3 linked regions of the Tamandua tetradactyla genome follow. The protein of the gene in region 2 interacts with the protein of the main gene of each other region in a pairwise test. Links are inferred from orthologs where the notes say so. Each region holds a gene or a part of one and is shown on either strand. Other genes may lie near its edges.

The links.
Region 1: the proteins of SMAD1 (region 2) and PIAS4 interact in a two-hybrid assay, tested with the Homo sapiens proteins (2 studies listed by BioGRID and IntAct). The link is inferred for Tamandua tetradactyla from reciprocal best matches to the Homo sapiens genes SMAD1 and PIAS4.
Region 3: the proteins of SMAD1 (region 2) and LEMD3 interact in binary tests that used the Homo sapiens proteins (3 or more experiments, as listed by UniProt). The link is inferred for Tamandua tetradactyla from reciprocal best matches to the Homo sapiens genes SMAD1 and LEMD3.

The regions. Positions count from the first base shown.
Region 1 is NC_135337.1:78,023,322-78,031,088, forward strand, and holds the start of PIAS4 (E3 SUMO-protein ligase PIAS4), read right to left. Parts: upstream 3,038-7,767; 5' UTR 2,955-3,037; coding exon 2,928-2,954; intron 1-2,927.
Region 2 is NC_135348.1:22,612,636-22,620,206, forward strand, and holds the start of SMAD1 (mothers against decapentaplegic homolog 1), read right to left. Parts: upstream 3,062-7,571; 5' UTR 2,786-3,061; intron 2,275-2,785; exon of another isoform or gene 1,592-2,274; intron 1-1,591. UniProt on the Homo sapiens protein: Transcriptional modulator that plays a role in various cellular processes, including embryonic development, cell differentiation, and tissue homeostasis.
Region 3 is NC_135333.1:133,020,738-133,028,443, reverse strand, and holds the start of LEMD3 (inner nuclear membrane protein Man1), read right to left. Parts: upstream 3,079-7,706; 5' UTR 3,032-3,078; coding exon 1,492-3,031; intron 1-1,491.

The sequences.
Region 1 (7,767 bases), on a different chromosome or scaffold from region 2:
CATCAGGCACCCAAGGGCATGATCCTTCCTGTACTCATACCCATCTACCTGGGGAACACTACGGGGTCTTCTTTCACAAGGCACATCCCCTGCCTGAGAACCTGGATAACTTTGAAAACAAAGTGCCTTCAGCCCCCTTGGCCGGCCTTCCTACCTTGAGCAAAAAAAAAGACTTGTGGACAAGATGTATCTTCTGGAACAGGCCCAAGCCTTTCGAGGGAGAAGCAGTGTCATGTGGAAGCTTAATAACCGCTGCTGAAGGCAGGTGGGTTCAGCCATTCAGGGTCTGACCACAAGAGATCTGCTGACATCAGCTGGCGCCTGGGAGCCCCTGACCTACCCTGCCCCCCTCTCCACCAGGGCCTAGCCCCTCCGGCCAGGTTGGACGCCAGGAGCTGCCGCACAAGCAACCCAGGGCACACCCCTCAAGCTGCCATATGTTCACGACTCAAATTTCTCAGCAGCTGCCACCACCGAGCAGCCTGCCCTTGACTCCAGTGGAGCTGGGGAGGGGGGAGGGGGGAACAAACATTCAGAAAGCCCCAAATGCCTCGGAGATCACTTCCTGCTGTAGGTGCATCCTGACCTGCCCGCCTGTTGGAACTGTTTATAAACAGCTCTGGGACCCAATGGCTTTGGGCTGACTGCTTTGGGCCAGACAGGTTCCAGAGCAGTTTCAACTCTGGACTTGTTGGGAAGCTGTGTGAAGAAACATCAGCCTGGAGCAGCTGCACTTAACCTTTTCCCCATCGTGGCCTCTGAAAATGGGAGGAAAGCAAAGCCCCTCTTTCCAGAAAAAAAAGAGGTCTGCAAAATGCTACAGACTACCTCAAGGAGTTCCTGGACTCCTTCCCCCAAGCCAACCTCATAGCCCTTAAGACTCTCAAAGTCAATCAATCTCAAACCAGCCTCTTTTGCACCCCAACAGGCAAATCTCCAGCTCCAAATGCAAGGCACAGGGAAAAGAGGGGAGAAGCCTCAGGACCCCCAAAACACCTGACAAAAGGGTGATCACTGCATTTACATTTAAGCCACTGTAGGGTGGTAGTAAAATGGTTCCCTGGGATTGGGGGAGGTTTGGTTGTCATTCCACACCTACCTGCCCCCACCCCCTCAGAATGGAGGTGCACATCTTTTAGAACTTGAAAGAAAGAAGGGTCAACTTGATTTAATTGGGGTAGGAAGTCCCAGCCATGGTCGGGTCAAGAAGAGTTCATGGGATCACATTTCAAGGCCCTGGATGGTATTAAAAAAAGAGCACAGACCCTAACCTCCTCCATTGGGCATGGGGGTGGGGGTCCAGAGCCACAGCTCTGCCAGAAGGTTGAGTTTCAGGGCTCTAGGGGACTTTGACTAGGGAGGCTGGCACCTTGGGCTTGCGAAGTCCAGTCCTCCACAGTTCCAGGACAGACTGGCCATTTCTCAAAACCCAGGAGAGAGCAGGAATGCATGTGACATGGGATTGTGGAAGGGAGGTGGGGGGGAGATACACGTTATAATATAGGGATCTTAAGGGCCATGTGCCAGATCCCTGGGGGAAGGGAGAAGAGAGGGAGGGGAAAGAAGAAAGCAATCATTTACAGGTCAGGACCCTGGGGAGGACAGATCCAAGAGGGGAGGGGAAGGGCAGTGCTTGGAAGGCCTAGGAAAGCCCTAGCCCCTGCCTCCCTGGGAGCAATGGCTGGGAGTGTACTTTTAAGGGCAGAAAACCCTGGTATGAGACAAAGGTTTGGGAGCCTTACCATTGAGGAGGCATCCAGAAGAAAGTACATCCCTGGGACAAATGGGACCCCAGGCTAAAACAGAGAGGCCCCTGTCCTAGAATCTGAGGGAGACTTAGCAGGAGGCCGTTAAGGAAAAAGGCCTATCCTGGAACCAGCTGCAAACCTTCCAAGAACAGAAAGAGGGAAGCAGGCAGAAAAAAGGGGCTCAGAAGACAGATCTGGGGTGCATAGGTATATAAAATCAGACCTTTGACCTAGGAAGTAGATTCACTAGAGAACAGAGTATAGGGGAAGCAGCTGAAGTTTAGAAATGGGATCTGATTCTGCTTGGGGGCGGGATGCGTGTGAGCGGAGTTAAGGTTCCCAGAAGCCGAATCCATAGGTTCCTAGTTACTGTCCGGAGGGGAAAACAAAGTGGAGAACGGCAAGGTTCAGAACCCAGGACTGTAAAGGGGGCAGGAGGAAGGCAGAGGAGTCAGGGCAGACGGGCGGCCCCAGGCCACTCCGGGGCTAGGCACCAGTGTCAGGAGGGGGGCGGGGCTCGTGGACTACCGTAGGTGCTGAAGATGGGCTCCACGCCAGGCCTGGGTCACACACCATCGGCGGACAACCGGGTTTGGAAGCGCTCCAGGGCTCGGGGCCCATCACCCCGTGCTGTTGATGGGCGGAACAGCGCCGGGAGGCGGGGACCCTTCTCAGCCGGGAGTCGCAAACCCCTGCCTGGTCTCCTGAGCGCGCAGGCAAGAGCCAGAGACCGTGGAAGGCCGAACGCTGACAATTCCCCCGACCCGGGCTAGAAAACACCGACACCAGCTTGGGAGGAGGGAACGAGAACCCCGACCCATCACGCCGTCCGGGGAGAGACTCTGCCTCAGACGGGAGGCGCGGCCCTGCCCCCTGGGTTCAGGGAGACCCAGACTCCGGCGGTTTGCGCTTGGCTGCGGGGACCCTGCTTCAAGCCGGGGGACCTGACCCCCGACACGACGACTGGGGCGAGGTGTCGGGGCCCCGCCCCCGGCCTCCCCGCCCCCCGCCCGCACCCCGAGTCCCCCGGCCGGGAGCCGCCGCACCGAAGCCTCGAGCAGGTGGCGCCCGGGGCCCGGGGCGGAAGGCGCAGGCCTCAGCCCCCAGGCCCGCCCCGCGCCCCCGCCCCCTCGTCCGCCCGGCCGCCCGCCCGGGACGGCGCCGCCGCCGCTCACTCACTTTGGCCTCCACCAGCTCCGCCGCCATCTTGGCCACCAGCGTCCCCCGCGCCGGGAGCCCCCAGCCGTCACGTCACGTGACCGCCCGCCACCCGCGGGCGGGGCGACCGCCGCGGCCAATTAGCGCCCACGCGCCCGCCTCTCCCCAGGCTCGCGCTGCCGCGCTCTGCGCAGGCGCGTGCGGCCGCCGCCCGGGCCTCGAGCCAATCAGGGTTCGCTCGCGGCGACCCCGCCCACCCCGCAGCTGCGTCTGGCTTCTTAAAGGAGCACGAGCCCCGCGCGGGTCGGTGGTGGGCGATAGGAGCGGCGGCGATGCAGGTGGAGGCGACGGCAGATGCTGGTGCTCCGGTGCGAGGCGGCCTCCAGGTGCGCGCCCGGAGGTCCGGCGGCTTTGGGGGGGGAGGGGACAGCCGCTCCACTGCGGCGGTCGCCAGTGCGCGCGGCGCGGCGCGGACCCAGCGGACCCCGGCGCCCCGCGCTATACATCCGGGTCTTGGCGCGGCAGGTGGGGGGCGGGACCTAAGCCCCCCCCCCCCCCCCCCCCCCGCTCTGCCCGTTTCCGGGTTGCCCGAGTCTGAGAAATGCGCGGCGCCCCATTTCCACGAATTCCTGGAGCTCGTGCACCGAGCACCGCGCTCCGCTTTGCAGGCGCTCCCGCATCGTCGACCCCGACTTCATTCTTTCCTGCCTCCTTATCCGAAGTGAACTTTCAGGGTTTCGAATTTGCCCTGAGCTCAGCCTTCCCTGCTCAGAAGCTCTCCTTGGCTCCCCAGTGCCCCGCCCAGACAGCCGATCTCAAACTTTCCTGTGTGTAAAGGGAGAAGCGAGGGACCAAAAAGAGTGTCTTTCTTACGGTTAATAATACAATATTTGTTCAGGAATTATAACAAAGGTCCCCCTTAATGCTTATTGTTAATGCTAGGAAAATTGAAGGGGAAAAAGCATATATTGGAATACTGCATTCTGCATGATTTTCCTGTAAACCTCAAACTGCTGTGATATTACTTAATAAAATGTAGTTTCAGGGATATTCAAATTCTCAGGGCAGGAAGAAACTCGGGCACGAAACTAAGCGGGTGCCAGGAAAACTCAGTAATCAAGGAGAATATTTTTAGAATAACTTTTAATGGGGTCCCTGACTCCCAGGGGTGTAAATCTCCCTGGCAACGTGGGACAGAAATCCCAGGATGAGCTGGGACCCAGCATCAAGAGATTGAGAAAACGTTCCTGACCAAGACGAGAAGGAGAGAAATGAGACAAAATAAAGTGTCGGTGGCTGAGAGATTTCAAGCAGTTGAGAGGTTATCCTGGAGGTTATTATGTATTACATAGATATCCCTTTTCAGTTTATGGTGCATTTGAGTGGCTGGAGGGAAATACCTGAAACCAAAGAGCTGTGTTGCAGTAGCCTTGTCTGTTGAAGATGATTGTATAATGATACAGCTTTTACAGTGTGACTGTGTGATTGTGAAAACCTTGTGTCTGATGCTCCTGTTATCTAGTGTATAGACAGATGAGTTAAAAATATGGATAAAATAACAAATATAGGGGGAACAAAGGTTAAAATATATGGGGTAGATGGACATACACTTTTGTGGTCAGTGAAAGGGAAGAGTTAAGGGTTATGGGATGTATGAATTTTTTTATTTCTTTTTCTGGAGTGATGCAAATGTTCTAAAAAAGATTATGGTGATGAATACACAAGTATGTGATGATATTGTGAACCATTGATTGTGCACCATGTATGGAATGTTCTTATATTAAGAATGTTTGTGTTTGTATGTTATCTTGTCAATAAAAATATTAATGGCCCCCAGAATCCATGGTGAACAAAAATGTCGATGATGTAAGCAGACAAATTCCAACTCTGCTTTGACACAAATGAGTCTCACTGGCCTCACCCTATTTCCAGCCCTGCTGATTCTGTGTGGTTGTTTTTTTATTTTTAATAAAATTTTTAATTTAGGAATAGTTTAAGGCTCACAAAAGGTTGAAAACGTAGTACAGAAAGTTTCCATGTATCCTTCACCCACCTTTCCTTGATATCTTCCATATGGAATGAATGATCAAAACCAAGTTTTTTTTTGTTTGTCTGTTTGTTTGTGTCTTTTTTTTAACTATTATTATTTTTATTTTTTTCTCTATATTAACATTCTATATCTTTTTCTGTTGTTTTGCTAGTTCTTTTCCTAAATCGATGCAAATGTACTAAGAAATGATGATCATGCATCTATGTGATGATGTTAAGAATTACTGATTGCATATGTAGAATGGAATGATTTCTAAATGTGTTAATTTCTTTTTTTCTTTAATTAATAAAAAACAAACAAACAAACAAAAAACCAAGTTGCTAATACCTAATACAGGTACAGACCTCATTCACTAGTTTTTCCTTTTTTTTCAATCATTCATCAGTTTTTACATGCACATTTTTGGGGTGGGTGGGTGGATAGTTCTATGAAATCTTATCACCTGTAGATTCTGGCAGCTTTCCTGGTGTGAATGTTTTAAATGTTTCTGTTTATGATAATGGTATCATTGCAATGTTTGTTTGTTTGTTTTGCATGGGCAGGCCCCGGAAATCGCTGTTTTTAAAATATGAGAAATGCAAGCCTGCGTGTTTACACAAATGGTGTGGGATTTGCTTTAAAATAATAGGGAAGGCTTGGGGCAGAAGTGACCACAATGAGATGGGCCCTGAACTGTGAATTGTTATAGCTGGAAGACAGATTCGCAAGGGGATGTTAGATAGTTAACACTGTGTCAGCACTTATTCTGCTCTACTCCTCCACTCCTACCCCGCCACCCTCCCAGATTGTACATTCTGAGTCTTCGCATTGACCCCATTTTCTGACCTTGATACCAGGGCTCAGAGACAAGAAGCAATTTTTGCCCAGATATTGGCAAAGCCAGCTCTTAATCCAGGGATACCTGCATCCAAAGGCCAGTGGCAGACCCTTCCGAAAGGTGTTAGGAAATAACCTCTCTGTTTGTTGAGCACCTACTAAGTGCTGTACGCTATTTTGGGTCAAGGGTCAGCAGAATATTTTCAATTTTGTTTAGTCTCAACGCTGTGTTCGAAGATGCGAAAGTGGCCACATGCACCATGAAAACAAATGAACGTGCCTGTGTGTCAATAAAAGCTTATTTATAGACACAGAAATGTAAAGTTGATGTAATTTTCACGTGCACGAAATATTGTTACAATTGTGATTTTTTTTTGCAACCACTGAAAAAATGTAAAAATGAAAAAAAAAATTTAAAGAGAATCGTTCTTAGCTGAAAAAGCTGTTTTAAAACGGATCCCCTAGGGCCACGGTGGCTCAGCAGGTAAGAGTGCTTGCCTGCCATGCCCAAGGACCTGGGTTCGATTCCCGGTGCCTGCCCATGTAAAAAAAAAAAAACGAATCCCCTAGATTTGACCCGAGGGCTGCACTTCACTGATTCCTGTTACAAGTGCTGAAATGCAGCATGACCATAATAGGCAAAAATGCCTGTTCTCCTGGAGCTGGCAATCCAGGAAGTGTGTATATGGGGGGGGGGATGCGCAGTAAATGAAATAAAAAGCTGAACATAGAACAAATTCAGTCAGCGATGAGAGCTAGGGAGAAAAATAAAGCAGAAGGGAAGTGTGGCTGTTTGAATTACGTAACCAGACAAAATTCTTAATCTTCGTTCGTGTTCCTGTGGGTGTGAACCCATTGTGAATGGGAGCTCTTGAAGATGTTATTTTAGTTAATGAGGATGAGCCTCATTCGTGATGTGAAGTCCTTTATAAGTGGACGCAATTGAGACAGAGAAAGGCACGGAGAAGAGCTGAAAACCGGAAGTCAGGGAACCAGGAGGAGAAAGGAAAGGAGGTCACCATGTGACAGGAAAGCTGAGGAACCCCGAGGGTCCCCAGTGGCCAGTACCAGAATGCTACAGTCTTTCCCGATAGCTAGATTTTGGTCTTCCCCTAGCCTTAATGTCATGGGCTCATAAATTCCTCGATTAAGGTAACCCATTGTGTGCTACTTGTCATGTGAGGTAGTTTGTAACTTTATCCTCAGTATTATTGCTGTATAACTTTATGAATTTGTGTGCACCACTTTATGCATTTATGTATCTCCCTGTGTATTTCTGTGTATCATGCTATGAATTTGTGCACTCACAAATGTATGTAAAATACATGGTTTCTCGAAGGAAGTAAAACAGGATGTCTGCTGTGCCTGTTCCTTGTCACGTCCAGGGCTGCCTGCATTTCAGACAAAAGAAATAAGCTAAGGGCCAGATAATAACTCCTGCCCTGCAACTACTATTTCTATGCTTTTCCATTGTTTACTGCCCATTCCCATAGTAACTCCCCCCTTTCTTGCTGGCCTGTATAATCTAGAAACAAAGGATATTCAGGGCTCAGACTTTGGACAGGAGCCCTCTGAGTCTGCCACGGAAAATAAAAAGTTTTGTCCACTTCTCAGAGGTTCCAGTGCTTTCTTGGGTGGTGCTTGGAGTCTCTCTACTTCAATAGCAGCCTGGAAAACTAAGAAAGAAGGATATGGAAAATACTCACAAGAACACCGCAATTGAATTCAACAGATCTAAATCATATCCTCCAAAGCGATGGTCATATTCGCAAACCACCTATTATGTGATAGATAAATAATGATAAGTAGATAGACAGGCAGACAGACAAGACACATAGATGGAGAGTGGTGGTTTGAAGCTGAATGTACTGCAGAAAACACGTTCTTTACGTTAATCTATTCTTGTGGGCATGAACCCATTGTGAGTGGGAACTTTTAAAAAAATTTTATTTATATTTTATTTATGATACATGACCACATACAAACACAAACATT
Region 2 (7,571 bases):
CATGAAGCACAATTCAGCACAGAGATCAGAGCGGCAAAGACGGTTACCAGCACCCTCAAAGCATTTCTTTACTGCCAAATGTAAAGCTACATTTACCTTTACAAATGCAAAGCTACACTACAAACTGAACATCTCTGCTTTTATCTTCAATTTTTTTCAGAAACTCAAGAGTTCTGTAAGCCTTTCCCTATTTCAGAAACACTAATGTCTTGGTCACGTAGGCCTTTTCACTATAAACAAAATTCACGTACCACCCATATCTGAAGTATAATGCCAGACTCCTGCTTAGCTGCCCCTGTAATACGGTTTAATTATGATGACTGAACTAATAGGCTGACATCATAGACTTTTACAGGCTGACCCCATGTCATTCTGATGTATCATTTTGCACCAGTTCAGTGCTGTAAATCAATTTAAGATCTCAAGCAGGTTGAAAAGGCTGGTAATGATGCTTTCTCTGCTGTCTCTTGAGACTCTACATTATACACAACTTACATTATTTATAAAGCCTCAATGATGCCTCCATTAGCCTTTAAGACTACACAAATGAGATCTTTTGTACACACATGACTTGGCCTTGATTATGTAGACTACTGCAGCTTAAACATGCTCTTCTAAGTAGACTCAAGTTTATTCCTTTTCCAATCTACCAAGTTATTAAATTTTATTTTTAACCCCGAATTACTAGAAATCAAAATTAGAAACTGAAATTTAATTTTTAACTAATAAATGCATTTAGGAAAATAAGACTTATTTAACGTTTTATCTGGTCCTTGTAAAAAAAAATTATTTGAATTCCAAAAAGCGTTAAGACATTAACGTTTTTAATTGCCTAAAATGTGTCACTTCTCTAAAATGCAAAAGTCATCAGCTCTTCGAGGGTATAAAACCAAAGAACACTGCAAAAGGAAAAATGTATTTAGTTACATACCTATGGTCAGAGGGGTCAAAACTAAATCAAGGACAAATCCCTACCCTCAGAGGAAACCCGATACCATCTGGAGCCTCTAGAGGATCACCCACCTCCAGAAAATCATCTCACAACCCTGGTTACAGTTTCCCAAGAATTGCAATATCACACAAATGGTCACTGCCTGCACAGAAATATCAAATAACTGCAAATGGAAAAGAAGGAGGGCGAGGGAGGACAAAAACTTCAATCACTACAGGATATTTAGGTCTTGCACTAGAATAACACAACACTGATGCAAACACATTTACACCCGTCGAAACTGCTGGGGCATGTCAAACGCTGAAGCAAAACTTTGGTTCTGCCTCGATTCCTTTAACCAGTGATTCCACCATAGCTCACCTACCTCCATTAAAATTTAAAGTGGTCATTATAAACAAGACGAAAAATCAACACAGGCAGAAAACAGTTTTCTCACTGTCTTACTGAAGCGTTACCCACGACGATTAGAACAAGAGATGAAATAAAGGCATTCTGTGGTTTAGCAGCTGAGTCTCGGCAAAAGGAAGACAACTTCCCATCAGGCAACTTCTATGTCATTCCACGTACTCTGAAACTTCATACACAATGGAAAGCAAAGAACACGAGTGGAAAGAAAAGGCTGGTTGTCACAGCACTCACGAAAATGAAGCTTTCCTCAGGATACGATTCTGAGACCGACCACAATTTTCAGATGGAAGTGCTCACTGGTTATCTTGCACAGTGTATTTAAAAATCGCATGCGCCTCCAAATAAACAAAAGCCGCAGCGACTGCAGCAGTAGCATTCGGCAGGCATTCGTTCCTCCTCCCTTCCCTAAGTACAGCAAAGAAACGCTCTCCCTTTAAGCCTTCATATATAATAAGCAACTAGAAAAACAAGCCCACGTCTGTCTCTCTCACACCTACCACCCCCACCACCCTACAGAAACAATCCCGAGAAATGCTAACAAAGACAGGGAGCAGAGAAAATGAACAGTTGTTCAACAACGAACTCACAAATTCACATGCAGTGAGGCAATCGAATCCGGTAAAGGGAAAGGAATGAGACGACACTTGAAGACTCAGGGGGTGTAGGCGGAAGAGAAAAAAAAAGAGAGAGAGAAAGAAAATTCACGCGCCGCCAAACCTCTGAATAAATCCGAGGGAACGTCGGTGCGAACTTTCCTTGACCTCGACCCCAAAGTGGCTTGTAGGGGCAGAGGAGGCAACACGTCCGGGATGCGGAGGAGCCGGGAGCACCGGGTGTCCTCCCCCTCCAGACCCGCTCCGCGAGGCGCCCAATGCGTAAAGGGCAACGCCGGCGTCTGTCCCCAAACTCCCGCACGGGTCGCCCCGGCCGGCGCGGGACACAATGGGCCCGCGGGCCGCGCGGACGGCCTCGGCCCGGTTGCAGAAAGGGAAAGAGAAACCGGGAGCAGGCGCAGGGGGAGGGCGCCCGCAGAGGACTTGCAGGGCCGGCGGCGATGCAGGGGGGCCGAAGAACAGCGGTTTCCCCACCGCAGACCCAACAAAGACGCGAGGTGAACCCCAGGCGAACCCTGCCCCGCCGGCTGGGCGCGAAGGGAAGAGGAGGTGGCAGGTTAGCTCCTGAGAGCGGCCAGGAGGCGCCATCATGGGAGGAGAGAGGAGCAGGCTTCCCCGGTCCGCCCCACGCCGGGAAGAGCCCCTCGGACTCCTCAGCCCGCGCCGCCGGCCCCGCACGACCGCAGTGGCCCCGGAGGGCCCGCGCCTGTTGCCGCAGAGGCGGCGGCCGCGCTGAGAAAGCCCAGGGCGCAGAGAGGAGGGCGGGGACGCGGTAAAGAGAAAAGTTGGGTCCGGGTCTGTTTCGTTTTACCGAGTTGGCGGCGCGCCCGTTGTCGCGGGCGCACGAGTGGCCGGACGAACGGGATCCCCGCGGCCCCGGGCCGGCCGGCCGGGCTCTGCGCCGCGCTCCGCACGCAGGCTCCCTCCCAGCGAGCGCCTCGGCCTGGGCTGGGCAGCTCGGCCTCTCCTTCCTCCGCCCGCTCGTTCGCGGAGCCTGGATTGATCTGGTCGCGCTGGCGTCAGGGAGTCGGAGCCGCCCAGCCTCCACCCCTCGGCTGCCAATACCCGGCGAACTCGCCCGCCTGCCCGCTCGCTCGCTCACTCGCTCACACGCGCACCCGCGCGCCACCGCCGCCGCTGCCGCCGAGCGACCAGGGATCCTCTCCAAATTCCCCGCCGAGCCCCACGCGAGCGCAGCGCCTCCCGGGCCCGCGGACGCGGCTGGGGAGCAGTCGGAGCGACTTACTCCGCCCCCAGCCGCACGCCCCCGTTATTCCTGGGAGAGAAAACAGTGTATCCTGCAGGGCCTTCCTAACCTGCCTCCTTCAGTCCTGGTGGAGCGGACGTGGGGCATTAGCTGCAAGTGAAGTTCGGTACTCCCTGTGTTTACTTTCTCAAATGTGCATTAACCCATCCAACCGCGCCCACCGAGCTGCTCTAAAACGTGGACAGCATTTTTGACAAGTCTTTCCAGACATTTTTCACAGCCCTTCTCTCACTCCCTAGTGATTTGCTGGCCCCTAGAAGTTGCACTGTACCCAGAACTGAAGAGCCAAGTAACTATCCATGTGCTTACATCAAACCCTAAATCAAACGTTTTGTGCCAATTGGAGATCCAATGATTGGAATAGGTAACTTCGTTGCTCCAAATAATGACAGATGCCACAAAAGAGTTCTAAACGCTAAATGGTCACTTTGAAAATCTTTTAGTTGACGCTAACCCCAAAAACAAAAATAAAGAAGTTCTTATCGTCTTTATCTGCATAGACATTGAAAATAGCATTTCGTAAGTCAGTTTTTCTTTTGGCAAACTCTCTGGATGCTGCCATGAAATTTTGGGTAATTACCAGAATGTTGAGTTATGCTTAGATGAGAATAATTATTCTGAATAATTTCACATGGACCAAAAGAATTGTTACCACCTTCGTAATATAAAGGAAATACAACAAGCATCATAAATTAATGGTAGTCTTCTATTGCTCGTGTACCCTTACAAAGTTTTTAATTATTTTTAAATTCATTTTCAATTCTTAATTCTTAGTTACTTATTATTTCTGCATTCCATTTTTAATTATTCAAAGGAAATGCAACAAATTCCATAAAGCTTGTAAAATGCTGTTTATAAATTATGTATCAGAATATTAAATTCCTTTCTTTGTTAAAGTATTACTAGGCAATTATTGGACCTCCTCTTATTTTCCCTATCAGTAGGAATTATTCTCTCTATCAGTAGAGCTGATCCCTCTGCTCACTGGAAGAACAACCAAAGTGAACATTATTATGTCCTTGTCAGATCAGCTCACTCCTGGGCTCACTCAAAACCCTTCTTTGATAAATAAATAGTGGTATATCTATGCAATGGAATATTATTCAGCCGTAAAAAGGAATGACGTATGGATGCATTCTGCAAAATGGATGAACCTTGGGAACATGCTAAGTAAAATAAGCCACTCACAAGACCACATGGTGTATAATTCTGTTCATATGAAATGTGCAAAATTGACATGTTTATAGCAACAGAAAGTACACTGGTGGTTGCCTAAGGCCGGTGGGTTAGAGGCTTGGGAAGTGATAGCTAAAGGGTATGGGGTTTATTTTAGGGGTGATAAAAATATATGGATGCACAAGTCTGTAAATACACTAAAAGCCATTGGACTTTACCCTTTAAATGGGTAAATCATGTTATGTGAATTGTATTTCAATAAAGCTGTTTTTTAAAAAAAAAAGACATGACAACTAATACAGTGTACCATCCTTGATTGGATCCTGGATTGGGGGAAAATTTATAAAATGACTTTTTAAAGCTAATGATTTTTTTTAACCTATACTGACCTTTCATGGCATAGTGCTAATGGGCCCAAATAATAACTATTAATATTATGCATGCTAGGAAATTTGACTTTGCCCTTTGCACAGTTTTTTTTCTTTAAATGGTAATAAAAACCCAGGTACCTTTTTAAAAGGTACATTATTGGGACAATTATGAAAACCTAAATGTGGGTTGTATATAGGCAAACCTCAGAGATGCTGCGATTTCAGTTCAGACGACTACAATAAAGCGATTATCACAATAAAGCAAGTCACATGAATATTTTGTTTTCTCAGTGCATTCGAAGTTATGTTCACACAATACTTTGGTCTAGTAAGTGTGCAATTGTATTTTGTCTAAAAAAAAAAACTGTGCATAGTATAACTAAAAAATACTTTATAGCTAAAAAGTACTAACCGTCATCTGAGCCTTTAGCAAGTTGTAATCTTTTTGCTGATGGAAGGTCTTGCCTTGATGTTGATGGCTGTTGACTGCTCAGGGTGGTTGCTGACGAATGGAGTGGCTGTAGAATTTCTTAAAACAGGCAACAATAAAGTTTGTTGTATCGACTGACTCTTCCTTTCACAAGATTTCTTTATAGCCTATGACAGCGTTTGACAGTATTTTGCCCACAGAACTTCTTTCAAAATGGGAATCAATCTTCTCAAATCTTGGCTCTAAGCTTATGTAATATTCTAAATCTTTTGTTTTCATTTCAACCATGTTCTCAGCATCTTCACCCAGGGTAGGTTCCATCTCAAGAACCACTTTCGTTGCTCATCCATAAGAAGCAACGTTTCATCTGTTCAAGTTTCATCATGAGAGTGTAGCGATTTAGTCACAATTTAGATGAATACACATATTTGTATTGTGTATTGATCATTTTTAGAACATGTGCAATCAGTCCAGAAAAAGAAATAAAAAGAAAAGAGAAAAAACTCAAACAGCCCATACCCCTTACTGCTCCCTCTCATTGACCACTTCTATTCATTGAAGGATTATTAACATCTAATTTCAAGATTGTTGCATTTTAGGGAATGAGGAGGCCTGATGTGAGGGAGGGAGGTGGGGGAAGAGCCAGTCAGTGGAGCAATCAACACACAGCATCTTCAAGCACCACTTCTAACTCTAGTTCTCTTGCTGTTTCCACAGCATCTGCAGTTACTTCCTCCACTGAAATCTTGAATCCCTCAAAGTCATCCCTAAAGGTTGGAATCAACTTCTTCCAAACTCCTGTTCTTGTTGATATTTTGACCTCCTCCCATGAATCGCAAATGTTCTTAATGGCATCCAGAATGGTGAATCCTTTCCAGGAGGTTTTTGGTGGCCTTTGCCCAGATCCATCAGCACAGTCCCTATCTATAGCAGCTATAGCCTTATGAAATGTATTTCTTAAATAATAAGGACTTAAAAATCAAAATGACTCCTAAATCCATGGACTACAGACAGATGTTATGTTAGCAGGCATGAAAGCATTCATCTCATTGGGCATCTCCATCAAAGCTCTTGGATGACCAGGGGCATTTTCAATGAGCAGTACTATTTTGAAAGGAATATTTTTTTCCTAAGCAATAGGTCTCAACAGTAGGCTTAAGATATTCAGTAATTCATGTTGTAAACAGATGTGGTATCATCCAGGCTTTGTTCTTCCATTTATAGAGCACTGGCAGAGTAGATTTAACATAATTCTTAAAGCTGCTAGGATTTTCAGAATGGTCAATGAGCACTGGCTTCAATTTAACATTAGCCCCTAACAAGAGAGTCAGCCTGTCCTATGAAACTTTGAAACCAGCCATTGAATTCTTCTCTCTAACTATGAAAGCCCTTGATGGCATCTTCTTCCAATAGAAGGCTGTTTCATCTACATTGAAAATGTGTGGTTTAGTGTAGCCACCTTCCTCAGTGATCTTAGCTAGATCTTCTGGATAACTTGCTGTAGGCTCTAAATAAGCACTTGCTGCTTTTTACCTTGCACTTTGATGTTGCAGAAACAGCTTCATTCCTTAAACCTCATGAACCAACCTCTGCTAACTTCAAACGTCTCTTCTACAGTTTTCTCACCTCTCTCAGCCTTCCTAAAATTGAAGAGGTTAGGGCCTTGCTCTGGGTTAGATTTTGACTTAAAAAAATGTTATAGCTAGTTTGATCTTCTATCCAGATTGCTAAAACTTTCTCCACATCAGTAATGACTGTTTCACTTTCTTATCATTCATGTGTTCACTGGAGTAGCACTTTTAATTTCCTTCAAGAACTTTTCCTTTGCATTCACAACTTGGCTAACTGTTTGACACAAGAAACCTAGCTTTTAACCTGTTTCAGCTTTCAACACGCCTTCCTTACTAAGCTTAATCATTTCTAGCTTTTCATTTAAATTAAGAGATGCGGGACTCTTCCTTTCACTTGAACACTTAGAAGCCATTGGGGAAGGGTTATTTTTTTAACAAATATTTTTATTGACAAATCTTCACACACATACAGTCTATACATGGTGTGCAATCAATGGCTCACAATAGCATCACATATTTGTGTATTCACCACCTTGATCATTTTTAGAACATTTGCATCACTCCAGAAAAAGAAATAAAAAGAAAAGAGAAAGAACTCATACAGCCCATACCCCTTACCACTCCCTCTCATTGACCAGTAGTATTCATTGAAGGGTTATTAATTGATCTAATTTCAATATTGTTGCATCTTAGGGAATAGGGAGGCCCAATGTGAGGGAGAGAGGTGGGGGAACAGCCGGTCAGTGGAGCAATCAACACACACAACATCTATCGATTAAGTT
Region 3 (7,706 bases), on a different chromosome or scaffold from region 2:
TGTAAAGCATTTAACCCTTAGAAAAGGATGGGTCATATAGTAGGTGGTGGCGTTGGTAGAGAAACAAATAGAGGCAGTATATTCCATTGCTGATAAGCAGTATCAGTTAATTTATGGCAACTTTACTAGTTTTAGCTTCCAATGTAACCTTATTCCTTTTTGCTCCCAAATATGTGGGGAAGGATACATCACATTACTCTTGTTCCCAGGGAACTGATTACAGCGAGGGTTGGATTTGAGTTCTTTTCCAATTTCTTTAATCAAGCAATATTATTAATAATCTTAACATCTTAAAAAATGAACAATTAAAAATCTGAACATCTTAAAATTGGTGTTATCTAGTCAAAGCTTACACTATTTTGGCCCCTATTATTTTTCTGAGTCTGCTAATTGCATCATTCACTCTACTATGAAACAAAGCTAATATAATAAGCCAATTTTATAAATACAAATCATGATGCAATGAATTCATGTTAGGTAAAAAGAGTAGAAGTTTTCAGAGGGAGTATGGAGAGAGAGCTAACACTGAGAAATTATTATTCAGCAGTTCTTCACGCACTAATTTACTTTCTCTATTTTAAACCTCACTGCCACCTTCCTATTCAGTTACCACCATTTTATAGATTAGGAAAGAGAAGATTTTCCTCTCTCCCTCTTGCTCAAGATGCTCTATCCACTTCAGCCTACAGGAAAACTCTTGCTCAACTCGGGGCCTTTCCTCTTGTTCTCTTTGCCCAGAATGATCTCTTCCTCTTTACAAGGCTGGTTCCTTCCCCTGCTTCAGTCTCATCTCAAATAGTATCTCTTCTGACAATTCAATCTAAAGTAGCACACACCAACCAATTCCTCCTTACCGCCTTCATAAAACACAAAATGATCTCCTTTTCGTTTTTAAGAGCAAGGAGACTTTGATTTATTACTATTGTAAACTGGGTGCTTGGCACAGAAGAAATGTTCAGATGCTGGCGGAATGAATGAACACACCTGTCTACAGTTACCTAGCAAGTAAACGGCAGGGTCTGGAACGCAATTCAGGTAAATCTGAACCCAAGCTCTTGTACTGCTCTCCCTACTGGTACTTTTTCACAAGTGAGAGAGAAGCTAGTTGGTGCTGGAAAATAATTTGGAGGAGGAAGGGGGAAGGCCTTGCTACTTTCAAGATTCATTCATTTTAAAGAAATTACATATCTGCCCACATAATTCTACAAACTAACTGGAATTTCAAGAGCATTTACACTCCCTGTTAGAATCACAACTCAATTTGAAGAGACATTGATTTACGATGTCTCTTAAATTAGCTATAGGATATCTTTTTGAGGACCAAAATAATGCTCTTTCTTAAAGAAAGGTGACACAAATGCTCTCAATTTGTTGCGTTTCACTAAACCATGTTCTTGCAGGTAAAAGTCACCTCCCGGAAAATGTAACTGCGGTTAAAGCATGACCATTAACATGCCCTTCCTTACCTTACCCACAGAGCTTAATACTTACAGTTGAGTCCTCCATCTTCGGATACTCCTGTCCCCCGCATTCCTAGGTAAGTCAGTCCCAATATTAGGAAAAATAAGCAGGCAGCAGTTAAGAGAAACATCGACAAGTAGTGGGCACTAAAACTCCCTGTTGGGGACACCTCCTCTCGTTTAAATTGCAGGAGAAGTTCCTCCTCGGGTTCGGAAAGCTTCGGTTTGTTGTACGTGTTTTTCAGGTAGGTATGATTGGAGCCCGTATGATTGGAGTGATTGATCCTGAGTGAACTGGAGGCGGCCACCGCGGCAGTGGGAGGAAAACTGTTGGAATAAATCCTGGGGGAGTCCCCACTGAAGGCCCCACCGCCTATATGATTATTAGTTTTACGAAGGGGGACTGTTGACGAATCCAAGGTTGAGTCGATGTCAGTAAGTGGCGGAGACAGAAGAGGGGCCAATTTCTTAGCGTTAACACGGTATCTAGGAACGGGGCTGGAGTCCAGTAGATCACACCCTCCTCCCTGCCCCACAGCCGCCGCCGCCGCCTCTTCGAGGTTTCGGCTCCTGTCTAGACTCCCAGCAGCCGCCGCCCTGTCATTCATCGCGATTCCTCCCCCTCCTTGAACTGAGGTCTCCAGCCTGCTGCCGGCAGATTTAGCAGTCAGCGGTGCAAGAGGTTTACTATGGCTCCGCCTGGGCCGATGCCGGGAAAGGGAATCGTCCTTTGATACCTGCCTGGTGGAGGCCACATCGTCGTTCTCTTCTTCCTCCGAGTCCGAGTAGTTTTCCCGGCAGATGTAGGGGAGAAGCCGGCTACCATTCACCGTCCGCCTCGACCACTGCTGCTCCTCGGCCTCCGGATCCCTCTCCTCACCGTCTTCTCCCTCCTCTTCCTCGTCGTCCACTGCTCCGTCTTTCCCCGATGGAGTCTGCAGTTCGGGGGCAGCCGGCCTCCTGGCCCCCCACCATGAGTGGGGCTTCCTCCGCTCGGCTGAGTTGCTGTTAGTCACCTCGCTGGCGGCCAGGGGCGCCGGCGGCGGTTTGAGCCCTCGGTACTGGAGAGAAGCCCGGTCCTTCCTCCCGCCGCCGCCACCGCCGCCGCCGGCGGCCTGGTCCCGGGGACTGGCCTCGACGTCCGATTCGTCCGAGCTGAAGCCCAGCAGCACTTTGCTGCCAGCCCTGGGGGCGGCCGAGGCGCCCCCAGGCTCTCCCAAGGGGCTTTCCCGGCCCGAGGCCGAGATTCGGCTGAGGCCCCCCGAAGTCCGTAGGTAGGAGAGGTCGCCCGAGACTGGCCGGACCCCCATCCCCACGACGGCCGCCGCCGCCGGTCCCGCGGCTGCGACGGTGGTGGCTGCCGTGTTATTGTTATTACTGTTCCGCGTCTTGTTGCCGCGGCTCCCGGACCGATGCTGCTGCTCTTCTTCTCGAAGCTTCTTCAGCTTCTTGAGATAGACGGGGCGGGTGCTCTCTGTCACCGGGCCAGGAGACAGGCCGTAACGACGGAGCTGAGAGAAAAGCTCCTCATCCGAGAGCTGCTGAGGCGCCGAAGCAGCTGCCGCCGCCATTTTCTCTCCAGGGTGTTTTACAAGCTCCGCGCTACCGGAAGTGACGCGCTGCCCTAGACCCTGAACTAGACCGGGCTGCGTCGTCCTCCCAGCGCCGCGGGCGCCTCGGCCAATGGGACGCGCGGGAGGAGCTCACCTGAGCGGGAAAGGACCACCTGAACGGCGCGCGGCTCCCGACGCGGATTGTTTTTCTACGCTCTCACCTTCAGGTCCCAGCGCTTTCTCCTCCTCTTTTCTGTTTCCTCCCGGTGTTCTCTGCCCTGCCCTACTAAGTGCCATTCCCGGGAGTTGCCTCTTGCTCAAACCACACCTTGACTTCCCTTTCCCAGGTTCCTGCCACTAAGGCAGTAATAATGGGAAGGAAATCCGCCTTAAAGTTCATGGCATTGTTTTTCTTTCCATCCACTTTCCCGCTGCTCGGAGGAGCCTAGAAAGACTCAAAGAAATTCTGATGGCCAGATTAAATTACAGAATCTCACTTTACAGTTTGTCTCTATGTTTGATTTGGGGGAATTAAAGTGTGACTTCTCGCTGCTCTTTTGAGAAGCCCCCTCCCTCTCCCTTCTCATTTCGAGGTGAAGATATGGAGTAGGCTACTCATAATTCCAAGGGTAATGGCTGTTCAATCATTAGTTAATTGTAAGGTATTATAATACCCCCTCCCCTTTTAAATCTGATGACATTGCTAGACCTTCATTTTTGTAACTGAAACAGCCAATCATTTGCTTCATTTTATGACTGAAAAAAAAGACATATCCTTGTACCATTCCAACAATAGTTATTTAAGTATTATTTATAATTATTTATTTTAAAGATAATTAAGTATTTGTTGTTTTATCCCCTTGGGCTGTAAGCTCCATGAAAGGAGTTGCTTGTGTCATTGGCAACTTCAGCTTCATAGTGCCTGACACTAGTAAAAGCTCAGAAAACATCAGTTGAATGAATTAATGAATTGCAAAGCTAGAATAGTATAAGACGAATGTTATGACCTGGGCATAGTGCTAGATGAGGAGGAGGAACCATCCCACAAAGTCAGAAAAACAAAGACAATTAAGACCTGGAAATCCAACTCCCTCGTTTACAGAATAGGAACTAAGCTCAGAGAAGTGAAATTTGTCCAGTTTGGTCACCATCTCTTTCCTTTTCCTCAGTCCCTGGCAAAGCTGACACTTTGTGACTACTAAATGCTAGCAACTACACTGCAACATCTCACACACTACTTGACACAGTAGAACAATATTTGTGTTCAATAAATTATTTTATCCTATTATGTTATACACATCTGTACAGAAAAGCATGGTAATCAAAAGCATGGATACTGTTTTCAACATCCTGAATCCAACAGCAGAATAATACTTCACAACCTAAATTTTCTACTTCTCTTGGTAAGCAAGAGTTTACCATCATCTAAAAAAAATTTAAAAATAAAAAAAGCCTTAATATGAAGGGACACCTCTTCTCTTTTATCATGGAAAATTTAATTATTAGTTGTTCCTGAATCTATAGAAGAGTGTTTGTCAAATAGAAAGTGCTCAATAAATTTTAGCCACTGTGATGATGATGGTGACACAAAATTTATTGCCATTATTGCCTAGGGATGGAATCAAATGATAATAAACTGGCCACACCTGTGCCTCATTGTGGCAGTGTGGAGAAACTGTGGGTTTTGGAGTTAAACAAAACTGGGTATATGCACAGTCCTGCCTCTTACTTTTATCCTTAGTTTAGCATTTGTTCCACACTTGACTGTCTCTTCATGTAGGAACCATAAAGGTCTGTTGGTTCAGCCTCTGATTTTCAGGAGCTTTAAATATTCTCCTGTAAGAATTGCCACATAGTTTATATTTCTGCCTGTGACTTTCGGCAACGTAATCTTACTGAGCCTTAGTTTCCTTACAATAAAAGAGGGATAATTTACCTTCTTTAGAAGACAATTTTAAGGATTATATGAGATTACCTTCACAGTGCTTAGCACCATTCCTGACATGCCATGTGCACTCAATAAATGTAAGCCAGTAATGTAAAACCAAACATTGTGGACATTCATTTCTGTAGCATGACTCCTGGGAAGTCCATATAATAGCAATAAGGAAAAATGCTACTGTGCAGAGAGAAATAGAAGTGGTCAAACTTTGCCGAAAGTATTTAAATAATTACATTTAAGAGTTAATGGGAAAAAATGAAAAAGAAGGATTAATGAAGATTGACGGCTTTGGCAAACATAGTTTATGGTCATTTCAGTTCTATAGAGCAGCAAGGTTTGATATGAACTAGGAACCAAAGATCTCAACTCTCCAAGACATGTGACTTTGGGCAAATCTTAGGCTCTCAGAACCTCAATTTATTCTTTTTTAAGATGGTAATAATATTGCCTGCTTACCTGGCACATATATGTATTAAATAAACATTTGTGGTAAATGAGGAATGAATACTGTATGGGAAAATCCTGTTCAGATGTGTTGTTTAATTGTTAGACAGTATAGCCAGATATTAATAACAATGACAACTACAATTGACATACAAATTTATACTTTACAAAGGTCCTTCATATACATGGTGTCAGTCTACACTAACACCTCTTCCTCTGTGAAGATACTGGGAGCATGATTTATTGTATGGAATCATCTGGGGTTATAATTTACCTTTTGTCTGGGTAATTGAGCAGATCCTGAACTCTTTATAGACTCTCATTGCTCACTTCCCACATTTTCCTCATTTACCAGTGTATCCCACTATTGCTTCCAGATCAGCTAACTTTTTTAATTTTTAATTTTTTTTTTTTACTTTTTTATTGTATAGTATAGCATATGTATAAAGCAAAGAAATAAAAAAGCAGTAGTTTTCAAAGCACTCTTAACAAGTAGTTACAGGACAGATCCCAGAGTTGGTTCTGGGTTACCATATGATCTGCTCAGATTTTTCCTCCTAGCTGCACCAGAATCTAGGAGGCTAGAAGGTTTAAACATTTTTTTTATCCCCACAATTGACTTTTTTTCTCTCTTTTTTGTGAAAAATAACATATATACAAAAAAGCAAATTTCAAAGCACAGCATCAGAGTTAGTTGTAGGACATATTTCAAAGTTTGACATGGGTTACAATTCCACAATTTTAGGTTTTTACTTCTAGCTGCTCTAAGATATTGGAGACTAAAAGAGATATCACTTTAATGATTCAGCACTCATATTCATGTGTTAAATCCTATCTTCTCTGTATAACTCTACCATCACTTTTGATCTTTCCATTCCTCTCTTTAGGGGTTTTTGGGCTATGGCCATTCTAACTTTTTCATGTTGGAAGGGTCTGTCACTAATATGGGGTAGGGAGGTGAAACTATCTGATGTTCTGGAGAGGCTGGGCCCTCTGGGTTTCAGGACTTATCTGGTCCAGGGACCCATCTGGAGGTTGTATGTTCCTGGAAAGTTACACTAGTGCATGGAACCCTTGAGAAATATTATATATTGCCCTAGGTGTTCTTTAGGGTTGGCTAACTGGTCCTGTTTGGGGTTTGGCAGGCTATGACAGGTAGCAATGTCTAACTGAAGCTTGCATAAGAGCAGCTTACAGAGTAGCCTCTCGACTCTATTTGAACTCTCTCTGCCACTGATACTTCATTAGTTACACTTCTTTTCCCCCCCTTTTAATCAGAATGAAATTGATCCCACGGTGCCAGGGTCAGATTCATCCCTGGGAGTCATCTCCTACATCGCCAGGGAGACTTTCAGCTGGATATCACGTCCCATGTAGGGGGAAGGGCAATGATTTCACTTGCAGAGTTGGGCTTAGAGAGACTGAGGCCATTTCTGAACAACAAAAGAAGTCTTCCAGAAGTAACTCTTTGGCATACCTATAGGTAGGCTAAGCTTCTATACTACCTGTATAAGCTTCACAAGAGTAAGCCTCAAGATCAAGGGCATGGCCTATTGATTTGGGTGTCCCTAAAGTTTCACACAGTATCAGGGGATTTCCTGATGTTAAAGTTTAATAGCTCCATATTTTCCCTCCCATCCCTCATATACTCTAGGATATATCCAGGCATTACATTAGGCTATACAGGATTAAAGAACCTCTTTCTTATTCTGGGCTCCCTGTGTTTCAATTGTTCAAATGAGGTAAACAGATAGGTTGACTTAGATTATGTGCTACAGAAAATTTCGATTCTAGACTAAATAAACCTTTCCTCCTTTGGCCTCAAAGAGTATGTGTGGTTATAAAATATAGACATTGTCTTCCTTACCCCTGTGTTCTGAATTACTTTAACCTCAACCTGATCGGCTTCATTCTTATCTCTAAATATCAGGTTTTATGTATATATAAAACAGCCTCTCAAAATCCGGAAATCATAATTACCACTCCGGACCAAATGTGTCTGCTATAAAAGCTTGCAATCTAGGTCCCTGTTTTCTTGTAAGTATTTTCTAAAGGACACCATACCATTGTTGATCTTTTGCTTCTGACTTATTTTGCCTCACCAAATGCCCCACACATCCATTCACATCATTGCTTGCCTCACGACTTCATTCCTTTTTTGTAGCAGCATAACATTTGTTCATAAGTATACACTATCATTCGCCAATCTACTTCTCAGTCAGTGCATCCTTCAGCCACCTGCATTCATCAGGAATCATGTATAGTGCCCAAAGTCCACAGTCCATTAACACTCTCAATTTTAGAAAA